Linked DNA regions of Sus scrofa. The protein of the gene in region 1 binds, or shares a complex with, the protein of each later gene. Links are inferred from orthologs where the notes say so. Each region holds a gene or a part of one and is shown in the gene's direction. Other genes may lie near its edges.

What was found.
Region 2: POLR2K (region 1) and TAF1C share a complex: the UniProt entries of both Homo sapiens proteins name them as parts of the pol I pre-initiation complex. The link is inferred for Sus scrofa from reciprocal best matches to the Homo sapiens genes POLR2K and TAF1C.
Region 3: POLR2K (region 1) and ZNRD1 share a complex: the UniProt entries of both Homo sapiens proteins name them as parts of the pol I pre-initiation complex. The link is inferred for Sus scrofa from reciprocal best matches to the Homo sapiens genes POLR2K and POLR1H.

What each region holds. Positions count from the first base shown.
Region 1 is NC_010446.5:36,850,436-36,854,183, reverse strand, and holds the start of POLR2K (DNA-directed RNA polymerases I, II, and III subunit RPABC4), read left to right. Parts: upstream 1-1,561; 5' UTR 1,562-1,702; intron 1,703-2,903; 5' UTR 2,904-2,911; coding exon 2,912-2,972; intron 2,973-3,282; coding exon 3,283-3,375; intron 3,376-3,748. UniProt on the Homo sapiens protein: DNA-dependent RNA polymerase catalyzes the transcription of DNA into RNA using the four ribonucleoside triphosphates as substrates.
Region 2 is NC_010448.4:4,454,557-4,457,673, forward strand, and holds the end of TAF1C (TATA box-binding protein-associated factor RNA polymerase I subunit C), read left to right. Parts: intron 1-27; coding exon 28-171; intron 172-604; coding exon 605-779; intron 780-860; coding exon 861-998; intron 999-1,075; coding exon 1,076-2,046; 3' UTR 2,047-2,553; downstream 2,554-3,117. UniProt on the Homo sapiens protein: Component of the transcription factor SL1/TIF-IB complex, which is involved in the assembly of the PIC (pre-initiation complex) during RNA polymerase I-dependent transcription.
Region 3 is NC_010449.5:22,625,528-22,629,275, forward strand, and holds the start of ZNRD1 (DNA-directed RNA polymerase I subunit RPA12), read left to right. Parts: upstream 1-1,343; 5' UTR 1,344-1,476; intron 1,477-1,589; 5' UTR 1,590-1,609; coding exon 1,610-1,745; intron 1,746-1,969; coding exon 1,970-2,070; intron 2,071-2,407; coding exon 2,408-2,517; intron 2,518-3,748. UniProt on the Homo sapiens protein: Core component of RNA polymerase I (Pol I), a DNA-dependent RNA polymerase which synthesizes ribosomal RNA precursors using the four ribonucleoside triphosphates as substrates. Can mediate Pol I proofreading of the nascent RNA transcript.

The sequences.
Region 1 (3,748 bases):
AGGAGAAGGCAATGCAATGATGTTTGGCACATAGTAGGCACTCAAGAAATGTTAGTTGTCATCACTGATAATAGCTTCCACTGACCATGCTCCACATGATGCTAAAATTACTGTTCCTACTCATAGGAACAAGAGTGTTGGATTGGGATCTAGCCCCAACATGAACTCTTGTTGAAATTCTGGATCTCCTTGCTACAACTTGTCTTTACTCTACCCCTCTGTAGGGTCCCAGGAGCCGTTTGTATTCTGCATGTGTTAATTCCTCCTGATCTCCATAGACTGCATTAAGTGCCAGCATCTTCTTGAAATCTCAAGCTTGAGAGTTGGAATCCAGGTCAGCTTGCAATGATTAAAGTTATACTTTTTGGATCACTCCATAATCTTTCTCTTATGATAACAATGGTTTTATCTAATACTTCTTGGAGCAAAGCTTATTTTGATTCTTCTTTTGGGTTACCTCTTCCCTTTGGCTGACAGGAGAGATATTTTTTAAGATGGTCAAAATACTTGTATGTTCTGTCTTAGCCTGTCTGTGGAGGAAGAAGCAGGACACTCCACTGTGTTTCCTGAAATTTTTACAACAGGGAGCTAAGAAGACTGGGAAGATTGAGTTAAATCTCTCAAGTTGGTCTGTGGAGGTGCCGGCAGTTGGAACTCCTCCTGGAAGTGTAATGCGAAGCTCAAAGTTCCCAAGTTTCCGTATGGAAGACCAGAGAGCAGTATTGCCTGCTTAATAAGAAACCAAAATAATGCATGTTGGGAAGAAAGAAACCTGCTTCTCCAATTAACTGTAATAGATAACGAATATGTATTTTCTAAATTGTAACAACTTCATTTTCTTCCTCTCATTCTGATATTAGTAAAATGCCTGCTATGAAAGAAGCAAACGAATGTAAATGTGTACATCCAACGATAATGTCTCACTAATAGTTTGATCTTTGAAAGGATTCCACTGAGCAGGTCGTTTTGTTCTTCTAGAGAATACATGGGACCAAAGGAGGGTCGGTAAACAGCCACCACTACCTAAATCCCTCAGCTTTAAGTGGCAGTAGTTGGATGTAGCTGCCTGCAAGTCCGCCTGTGCTTTAAAACGAGTAAAAGGAGAGGCTGAGAAGGATGACAGGTACCTAAGTGAGAAAGGGTCGAAAAGCAAACATTATGCAAAGGGCAGGAGGCGGCTGTTCCACTGCCGGCGGCACAGGTATTAAAACGATCTGAAATCCATAATCTGAAAACTGCTCTTCTACGTGGAAATCAGCGGTGAAACCGATACTTCCACGTTCTTTGGAGTAACGGTCAGCCCAGGGATTCCATGAGCACTTCACTTGGGTATCTAACGCTCTGACCTCTTGGAAAACTGTTACTTTCTGCGGCCTTCATTTGTCATAGAAACAAACCTCCTTCGACCTGAGAAACTGCTAAAATTCTTTGCCTCCCCGAAAAATGAAAATAGTTGGGAGCCAAATAAGAACCTCTACAGAGCGAATCAAACATACATAATTCCAATTTAACTGCCCGCGCTCAATCCGGGTTCTTCGGCCACTCCTTGGGCGGAAGGGGCGGAGACTACATCCTGCGTCATCTGCCAGTGCCGGAAGTGGGCTGACACACAGCGGCCTCAGGAATCTGTTAGGGAGCCTCGGGAAGTTTCTCCGTGTTCCGTGGGTAGGGGTTTGGCGGATTGGCGGTTTGGGATTGGAAGGTGAGTGTTTGGGCCAAAACTGGAAAGATACTAGGGGTTACAGGAGGTCCGGTGTGGGATTAGAGTCGAGAGAGGCTGGGGATGGAGTCGATGCTGTTAGCCCTTTGGCTTGTTTAGCTGTTGGGTTGTCTGCCTTTTCAGCTGTTAGGAGTTATTTCATTATTTTTCCCTTTTCTTCGGTTCGCATGTTTTCCTGTTGAGGGGTATAGTTTTTTGGCAATTTCTTGCTAAATTTTGGGAAAATTTCACTTGTGGGAGTTCCCCTTGTGGCGCAGCGGAACTGAATCAGATGAGTATCCTTGAGGATGCGGATTCCATCCCTGGCCTCGCTCTGTGGGTTAACGACCCAGCGTTGCCTTGAGCTGTGGTATAGATAGCAGACGGGGCTCGGATCCCGCGTTGCTGTGGCTGTCAGGCCTATTGGACCCCCTAGCCTGGAACTTCCACATGCCGCGGGTGGAAAAAAAAAAAAGAGAGAGAGAGAAAGAAAAAGAAAAATTGGAGTTCCCGTCGTGGCGCAGTGGTTAACGAATCCGACTAGGAACCATGAGGTTGCGGGTTCGGTCCCTGCCCTTGGCTCAGGGCAGGGTTAATGATCCGGCGTTGCCGTGAGCTGTGGTGTAGGCTGCAGACGCGGCTCGGATCCCACGTTGCTGTGGTTCTGGCGTAGGCCAGTGGCAACAGCTCCTATTCGACCCCTAGCCTGGGAACCTCCATATGCCGTGGGAGCGGCCCAAAGAAATAGCAAAAAGACAAAAAAAAAGAAAAAGAAAGAAAAAGAAAAATAGTACTTGTACTCGTGTTAAATGAAAACCAGAGCTTCGCAGTCAGATCTAAATTCCTCTGCCTTTTAACTACTGAATAATCCTGACCAAATTAACCTTCCCTAAATCTTAGTTTCTTGATCTGTTCATTAAGAGTAATTATTTAACCGCCTAGAATTGTTGTAGAGATTATAATGAAATAGCATGTGTAAATATGAAATCTGTAAAGTGTTTATGGAGTCCAGTTTGGGGGTAAATGCAAAATGCTTATTTGTGGGTTTGATTCATTCTTTAGAACCAGCGGTAGGATTTTTAAAAAGTACGGATTAGGAATTGGGAACTTTTTAGCTTTTTAGCTTTCCCTGAGAAAAATAAGGCATGATTGGATTTGTGAGGGGCCCCTTTAAGATGTTCAGTATTTGAATCTGTGATTTCAGGGATAACGATGGACACACAGAAGGACGTTCAACCCCCAAAACAGCAGCCAATGATATATATCTGTGGAGGTAAGAGTGGCACTTACATAAAATAAAAGTATTTTACCTCAGTTTTTTAAAAAGATAGTGCATTTATCTTTATTTTACTTGAGTCCTTCCTCTTTGAAGTTAGCGCTTTAGCAACTATTTTAAGATTTCATTTTCTCTCCTAGAAAAAGTGCGTTGCCCACCACTCTTTTCTTTCTTTTCCCTTAATATGTTGATAATGTTGAGATTTAGTATACATATTTTAGTGCTTTGGGGGAAAAGTATAATTAAGATAATTTGCTTGCCTCTTATTTCTCTTTTAGGCATTGAATAAATATGTTTTCTCTTTTAGAATGTCACACAGAAAATGAAATAAAATCAAGGGATCCCATCCGATGCAGAGAATGTGGGTACAGAATAATGTACAAGAAAAGAACTAAAAGATGTATCCTTTTAACTGTGTTTTCTAAATATGAGGTAGGAGGAAGTGGAGAATAATGCTTGGGTTGATAGTCAAAGACTAGCTGTTAAAAAATGGTAAAACTTGGATTACTTAGTGAAAAAATAAGCATGGAGTTGCCATCGTGGCTCAGCGGACACGAATCTGACTGGCATCCATAGGGACGCAGGTTTGATCCTTGGCCCTGCTCAGTGTGTTAAGGATCTGGCATTGCCATGAGCTATGGTGTAGGTCGAAGATGCTACTGGGATCCTGAGTTGCTGAGGCTGGTATGTATGTAGGCCGGCAGCTACAGCCCCCATTCGACTCCTAGCCTGGGACTTTCCATATGCTGCATGTGCGGCCCTAAAAAGGCAGG
Region 2 (3,117 bases), on another chromosome or scaffold:
GGGAGCCTGACCTGTGCGGCTCCCCAGGGCCCACCGGGCTGCGGTCTGCTGCTTTTCCGCGGAGGGGCCGAAGCCTCGTGCCAGAAGGGGGAACGTGTGCTGCTCACCCAGTACCTGGGGGGGTGCAGTCCCGAGTCCCTGTTCGCCACACTACACCTCGTCTGCACCCAGGTGAGTGGGGCCTTCTCCTCCGTCCTGCACTGTCTCACGTGTCGCTGGAGACGGTCCAGGACAACTGCAGGGGGTGGGTGGGGGTGGGGGCCAAAGCTGGACGACCCCCCTGCATGTCAGCTAAAGAGGAACAGCGCCCCTGCCAAGCCGCCCGAGGACCCTGGGGTTAGTGGTGTGTCTCAACCATGGGTCCAGGGTGGGTGAGCTCTGGAAAGGTGGGGAAAAGCCTCTCCTGAGACCCTTCTCCCAGCACCGCCTGCTCTGGAAAGGCCTCCCGAGCAGGGCTGGACAGGTGGAGCCAGAGAAGGGGCTGGGCCGGGAGTTCTGTGACCCCTCAGAGCCATGTGGGGTCCTGGGGAGGGCCATGGGGCCACCCGGGGAGACCCCCCCATGCCCCAGTCACCTCCCCCGCGTCTTCTTTCCGGGCCCCCAGTTCTCCCTCTACCTGGTGGATGAGCGCCTCCCCCTGGTGCCCCTGTTCAAGTGGAACCACGGCCTGCCCTCCGCTCCCCTGCTGGCCCGGCTGCTGCCCCCACCCCGCCCCGGCTGCCCGCGGCCGCTGCTCCTGGCGGGCCAGGCCGGGGAGCTGCAGCTGCTGCAGCTGGCAGGTGAGGGGCCAGGCGCCGGTGGGGGCGGGAGCGGGCGGGGCTGGGCCTGGGCAGGACCTCAGCCGTCTGTCTTTCCTCCAGGAGAGGGGGCCTCCACAGCCCGGCTGGCCGGGCCCCCCCAGTCCCTCCCTTCCAGGAGCGACTCCCTCTCTGCCTTCCCCCTGCTGGAGCCCAGGAGGCAGAAGCGGCTGCAGGAGCGTCTGAAGGCGCCCACCATAGGTGCGCTGGGGCGACAGAGTGGGACTGGAGAGCCTCACAGCCGCCAGGCCGTGGGGTCACTGTCATTCTGTCTCCAGGTCTGGCCGCCACCATCCCGCCCTCTGCCTCCCCGTCGACCCTGTCACTCTTCCAACTTTCAGCAGCGGGAGACGTCTTCTACCAGCACCTCCACCTCCAGGCAGACCCCGGGCCCGACTCCACTGCCTCCACAGCCTCCTGGACCCCCCAGGCCACTGCCCGCTGCAGGCGGTGGCTGGAGGCCCTGCTGGAGGTGCCCCCGGCTGCCCCTGTGTGGGCCGCACCCACCTTCTCCCACCGCCGCCTGCTGCGCTGCTTTGAGCGACAGCAGCTTGACAGGAAGCTGCCCGAGGGCCTGCGTGCGGCCATGGCCCAGGGGCGGCTCCTGCGGCGGAGGGACCTGGGCCTGCCCCCCACTGAGGAGCGGCCCCCCGCCCCTGAGCCCGGCCCCGGGGATGAGCTCAGCGAGCGTCTGGAGGCAGCCTGGGAAGGCCGGGTGGCAGCCTGGTGGCAGAGACGGCAGGGCCCCAGCTCGGGGCCCGGGAAACAGCCCAAGCGGCCCAAGCGCCGGACTCAGCTGTCCAGCACCTTCTCCTCACTCAGCGGCCGCCTGGATCTCTCGGATGCCCCCAGTCCCCCTCCCAGCCCAGACTGGACACCTGCTGAGGCCCGGCCTCAGCCCCCAGTGACCCCGCCCTCCCAGGACTTGACCCAGGAGCCATGGGCCCACGGTGTCCCCTCGGAGCGGCAGCAGACCCTTCGCGACTACATGGCTGAGCTGCCGCTCCGAGGGGACACCCCAGGGGGGGCCTCTGTCCCCTCCTCCCAGACCTCCAGCATCCGGGCCACCCCCTCCAGGAAGCAGGCCCTCCGGGACTGCTCAGTCAGGCTGCCGCTCCGAGGGGACACTCCCAGGGGTGCCACCGTGTCCTCATCCCAGGCCTCCAGCATCCGGGCCACTCCCCGACAGCCGGCAGCTGTCCCCTCCGGCTCTCAGCCACAGCGGAAGAAGCCCCGCATGGGTTTCTGAGGCCGGACACGCCGCCCACCTGAGACGCCCACCTGAGAGCCCCTCGCCCCAACCCGCTGTGCCTTTGGTGGTTGAAACGGGAAATGGAGAGCAGTCTCCAGGGTGCAGCGCCTCCTGCTTCCTGAAGGCCTTTGAGACCATAGGCGGCAGAAGCGAGGAGGAGCCACGTGGAAGGAAGGACGACAACCGGTCATTTCCCCTGTAGCTCCCGCTCCAGGCCGGCCTGAAGGTCAGCAGCGCCGGGACCCCCTCCCACCACAGTGTTGGGCTGGAGAGCAGGGCCTCCGGCAGCCGAGGGCTCCGCTGCACGCGGCCGCTGTGCCATTGGGGTGCCCGTGCAGGCTCCTGCGTGGTGGGTGATGGTGAAAGGAGCTGCCACGGAGCTGCTGGTGCTCCTGCGTGTGTGTGAGGAAGTTTCTGTCACAATCCGATGTTTTGTAGGGGAGGCACTTTGGACCCCGTTTAGGGGTTGAATAAACTTGTCGGCTGAGCCGTTTTGCACGGTCATGTTTCTCGGGCTGCATCTCACGTGGTTTTAGGGTCCGATGCCTCAGCCCTGGAAGTGACACAGGACTCGGGGCGCGACCTGGGTTTCCGATCACTCGTGAAGAGGGATGTAGCTGCCGAAATGAGTCTAGCGTGACTCGCAGGTGTATTCAGTAACCCAGTAAAACAGGGACTCACGTGGATGCCAGAATGTTTATGATGCTCAAGGGAGACACTAGAGTTACACAGTTTAAGCCGCAAACAACCGGGTTTGGTAGGCTTTGGGGCAGGGAGCGTGACGCTGTCCACACCCGCGGAGGCCGCGCCCACGGGTGGAGTGAGCCAAGGCCTCAGCGCACTCGAGACCAGCAGCTCCCTGGCGGAGGGGAGCCCAGCCGGGGAGACCCGTGTCTGCCGGGGCCGCCGTGGGCTCAGTCCAGGCCAAATTCAAGGTCCTCCCGGTCCTCTCCCACGTCGGGCTCCAGGCGCGCCTCGGGCTCCGTCTCAGCCGGGGCTGTGTCCCTCTCCAGGCCAATCCCTGAGGGTTAGGAAGGGGGAACCCGTGTTCTTGGGCAGTGTGGCCCC
Region 3 (3,748 bases), on another chromosome or scaffold:
AGCTGAGGCAAAGCTGGGTCCTTAATCCATGGTGCCAGGCCAGGGATTGAACATTTGTCCCAGTGTTCCCAAGACGCTGCCCATCCCATTTTGCCATAGAGTGGAACTCCTGTATCAGTGATTTTTGCCTTCCGATGAATACAAAGTAAAAAATAGAAGTAAAAAATATAACTTCTACAATTTATTTGAAAATCAGTCATGGGAGTTCCTGTTGTGGTGCAGCAGAAACAAATCCAACTAAGAACCATGAGGTTGCGGGTTTGATCCCTGGCCTCGATTAGTGGGTTAAGGATCTGGCCTTGCCCTGAGCTGTGGTGTAGGTCACAGACATGGCTCAGATCCTATGTTGCTGTGGCTGTGCCATAGGTGGGCAGCTGTAGCTCTGATTCAACCCCTAGCCTGGGAACCTTCATATCCTGTAAGTGCAGCCCTAAAAAGCAAAAAAAAGCAAAAACAAAAAACAAAACAAAACAAACAAACAAACAAACAAACAAAAGGAAAAACAAAAGAACAAAACGAAACATAGCTCAAGCAACAGCAAAGCCAGATCGTTAACCCACTGAGCGAGGCCAGAGATCGAACCCACAACCTCATCGTTTCTAGTCGGATTTGTTTCTGCTGTGCCACAACATGAACTCAAAATACAAAAAACATTTTGATGCTGAAATTTAAACATATAAAGAGTGGGAACTATGATTTTTAATCTACAAATACCATGATCTCTCTCTTTTTTCTTTTTAAGGCTGCACCTGTGGTATATGGAAGTTCCCAAGCTAGGGTCTGAATCAAAGCTGCAACTGTGATCTACACTATAGACAAGGCAACAGCCACCAAAGCACATGAGCCATACCGGGTCCTGCAGAGAGCCCTTGCTTGGGTCGCAAGGCCCAAAGAATGCTAGAATTACTCCCAGAATATTTCGCTTTGTTTTCTACCACTGTCCAACCGCCACAGTGAAGTGCAGATTCAGGAACCGCTGGAGTTTGCAGTTCTCCAGTCCAAATAAATAAATTAGTACTCTATAAGGTTGGTCCGACTTCTCAGGAGAAACGCTCCCCGCGACTGGGTCCTGGTAAAATTCGAGACCAATAAAATAAACATCCCAGGACTGAGTCCTGAAGGGAAAAAATAACCTGAGGCAGGCGCAGCTTCGTCACCTATTTTCGTATCCAACGTAACAGAACCAGGCTGAAGGGGGCGCCACAATCTTCCTTCAGAACCGCTCCTCTCCCTCTCCAGGCTCTCGGGATCACAGTTGCAATTAATTATGACGTCACAGCCAATCGAGAGCCGGGACGCGTGGACTCTCTAGCCCGCCACGCGCTCGCTGCTCGGTTGCCCGCGCGGAGCCGGCGCTCTAGCCCGTGAAGTTGACTTGCTCCTCTCGCCTGCCCCAGGAAAGACCCCCAGCGTAGTTGTACCCGACGCGGGATAGGGATTCCGGAAGTTTGGGCTCCTTAGTCACAGAGGCACAAGGTATGCGTAGGAAGAAATCTCGGGTTCTGCATGCTTACGTCCAGGGACAGAATAGGCATGACCTCTCTGGGGAAGGGGCTACTCTCTTAATAAACTCCTCATCCCCTTCCCAGCCCTCGACCACCCGTCTGTCATGGACCTCGCCCGCACATCCTCTAGCTTTCAGTCGGACTTGGATTTCTGTCCGGATTGCGGCTCGGTCCTGCCTCTGCCCGGGACTCAGGATGCGGTCATTTGTACTCGCTGTGGCTTCTCCATCAACGTGCGGGGTGAGGTGCTGCTACGCCGCGGCTGGGGCGGAGGAGGGCCCATGGGGATCTCAAGATCGATTGGATTAAAGACGGGGACCCGAAAGCGCAGGATCAGGCACTTATACTTTTGGTCGGCACGAAACCTGATGGGTAGAATATAGCTTCCTGGCCTAACAGAGAGGGATTAGTGTGGTGTCAGCCCCCTCCGCTGTCTCCACAACCAATTCTTACTGCCCGCGCAGACTTTGAGGGGAAGGTTGTGAAGACCTCAGTTGTGTTCCAGAAAGTGGGGACAGCCATGCCTATGTCGATGGAGGAAGGACCTGAGTTCCAGGGACCCGTGGTAAGTGAATCACGTCGAGGACTGGCCCTGTAAAGAGGGTGGGAACGAAACGGAGGGCTCAGATCTGGAGAGTTTTGTACACAACAGGGAAGAAGAGTCTTTAAAACAGTAGTGACTGGGGAGAGTTTTCTTGTGGTGCAGCCGGGTGTTAAGGATCTGGCCGGCATTGTCACTACAGCGGTTTAGGTCGCTTCTGTGGCACGGGTTCGATCCTCGGCCTGGAAACTTACACGTACTGCAGGTGCAGCAAAACAAAAACCAGCAGTATCTGAGGAGTGTGGTAGCTTGATGTCTGTGAGAAGTAGTGGGAATTATTAACCTACCAGTTGCTTCCCAGGTTGACAGGCGCTGTCCTCGTTGTGGTCATGAGGGAATGGCATACCACACCAGACAGATGCGCTCAGCCGATGAAGGGCAGACTGTCTTCTACACCTGTACCAACTGCAAGTGCGTATCCTTTCCCTCCATTCTGCCCCTTCTGGGTCTCTTTGCTGCCAAAATCCCGTGATTTAATTTAAATCCAGTGGTTTAATTTTTGTACTTTTTGGACTGGTCGCATCCTTCATTTCTGTACAGTTCAAGTAATAGGTTTGTGATCGTTTTCTTCCTTCCTTCCATCCTTTCTTTCTTTCTTCCTTCCTTTCTTTCTTTCTTTCTCTCTCTCTCTCTCTTTCTTTCTTTCTTCCTTCCTTCCTTCTTTCCTTCCTTCCTTCCCTCCCTCCTTCCTTCCTTCCTTCCTTCTTAGGGCTGCACCCCGTGGCATATGGAGATTCCCAGGCTAGGGGTCACATCCGAGCTGTAGCCTCTGGCCTCACCACAGCAACAGCAACGCCAGATCACAGCAACACCGGATCCCAGCTGCGTCCACAACTTACACCGCAGCTCACAACAATGCCAGAGCCTTAACCCACTGAGTGAGGCCAGGGATTGAACCACATGGTTCCTAGTCGGATTTGCTTGTGCTGCTGTGCCACGATGGGAAGTTCTGTGGTCTTTTTAAATTTTAAATAATTACTCTTTTCCTATCTTTTTATACCCAGTGAATTAAACCTTTTACAATAGTTAAAAGGAAATGAGTATTGGTTTGTGATCAGTGTGTTATGTTGGACTCCTCCACTGCCCTCAAGGTAGTTTTACTTTGGTGAGAGTCAGTCATGGATGATTTAAAAAACATGGGTTCTTTATTTTTATTTCTTTATTTTTTTTTGTCTTTTTGCCTTTTCTAGGGCCGCTTCCCGAGGCATATGGAGGTTCTCAGGCTAGGGTCTAATCAGAGCTGCAGCCGCTGGCCGACGCCACAGCCACAGCAATGTGGGATCCGAGCCAAGACTGCAACCTACACCACAGCTCACAGCAATGCCAGATCCTTAACCCACCGAGCAGCCAGGGATCGAACCCACAACCTCATGGTTTCTAGTCGGATTCGTTAACCACTGCACCACGACGAGAACTCCCAGAACATGGGTTCTTTAAAACATAGTTTTAAGAATTCCTCTTTGTCTTTGGTGTCCTTCAATTTCACTACAATCTATCAAGATGTGGCTTTCTTTTATTTATCCTGTTTGGGATGTGTTGGGCCTTCCAACAGTGAGGGTTGACCTTTTTTCCCCCATCAACCTTGGAAAATTATCAGCTGTTATCACACTGAATATTTCCCTCATATGCTCAGTTCTCATAT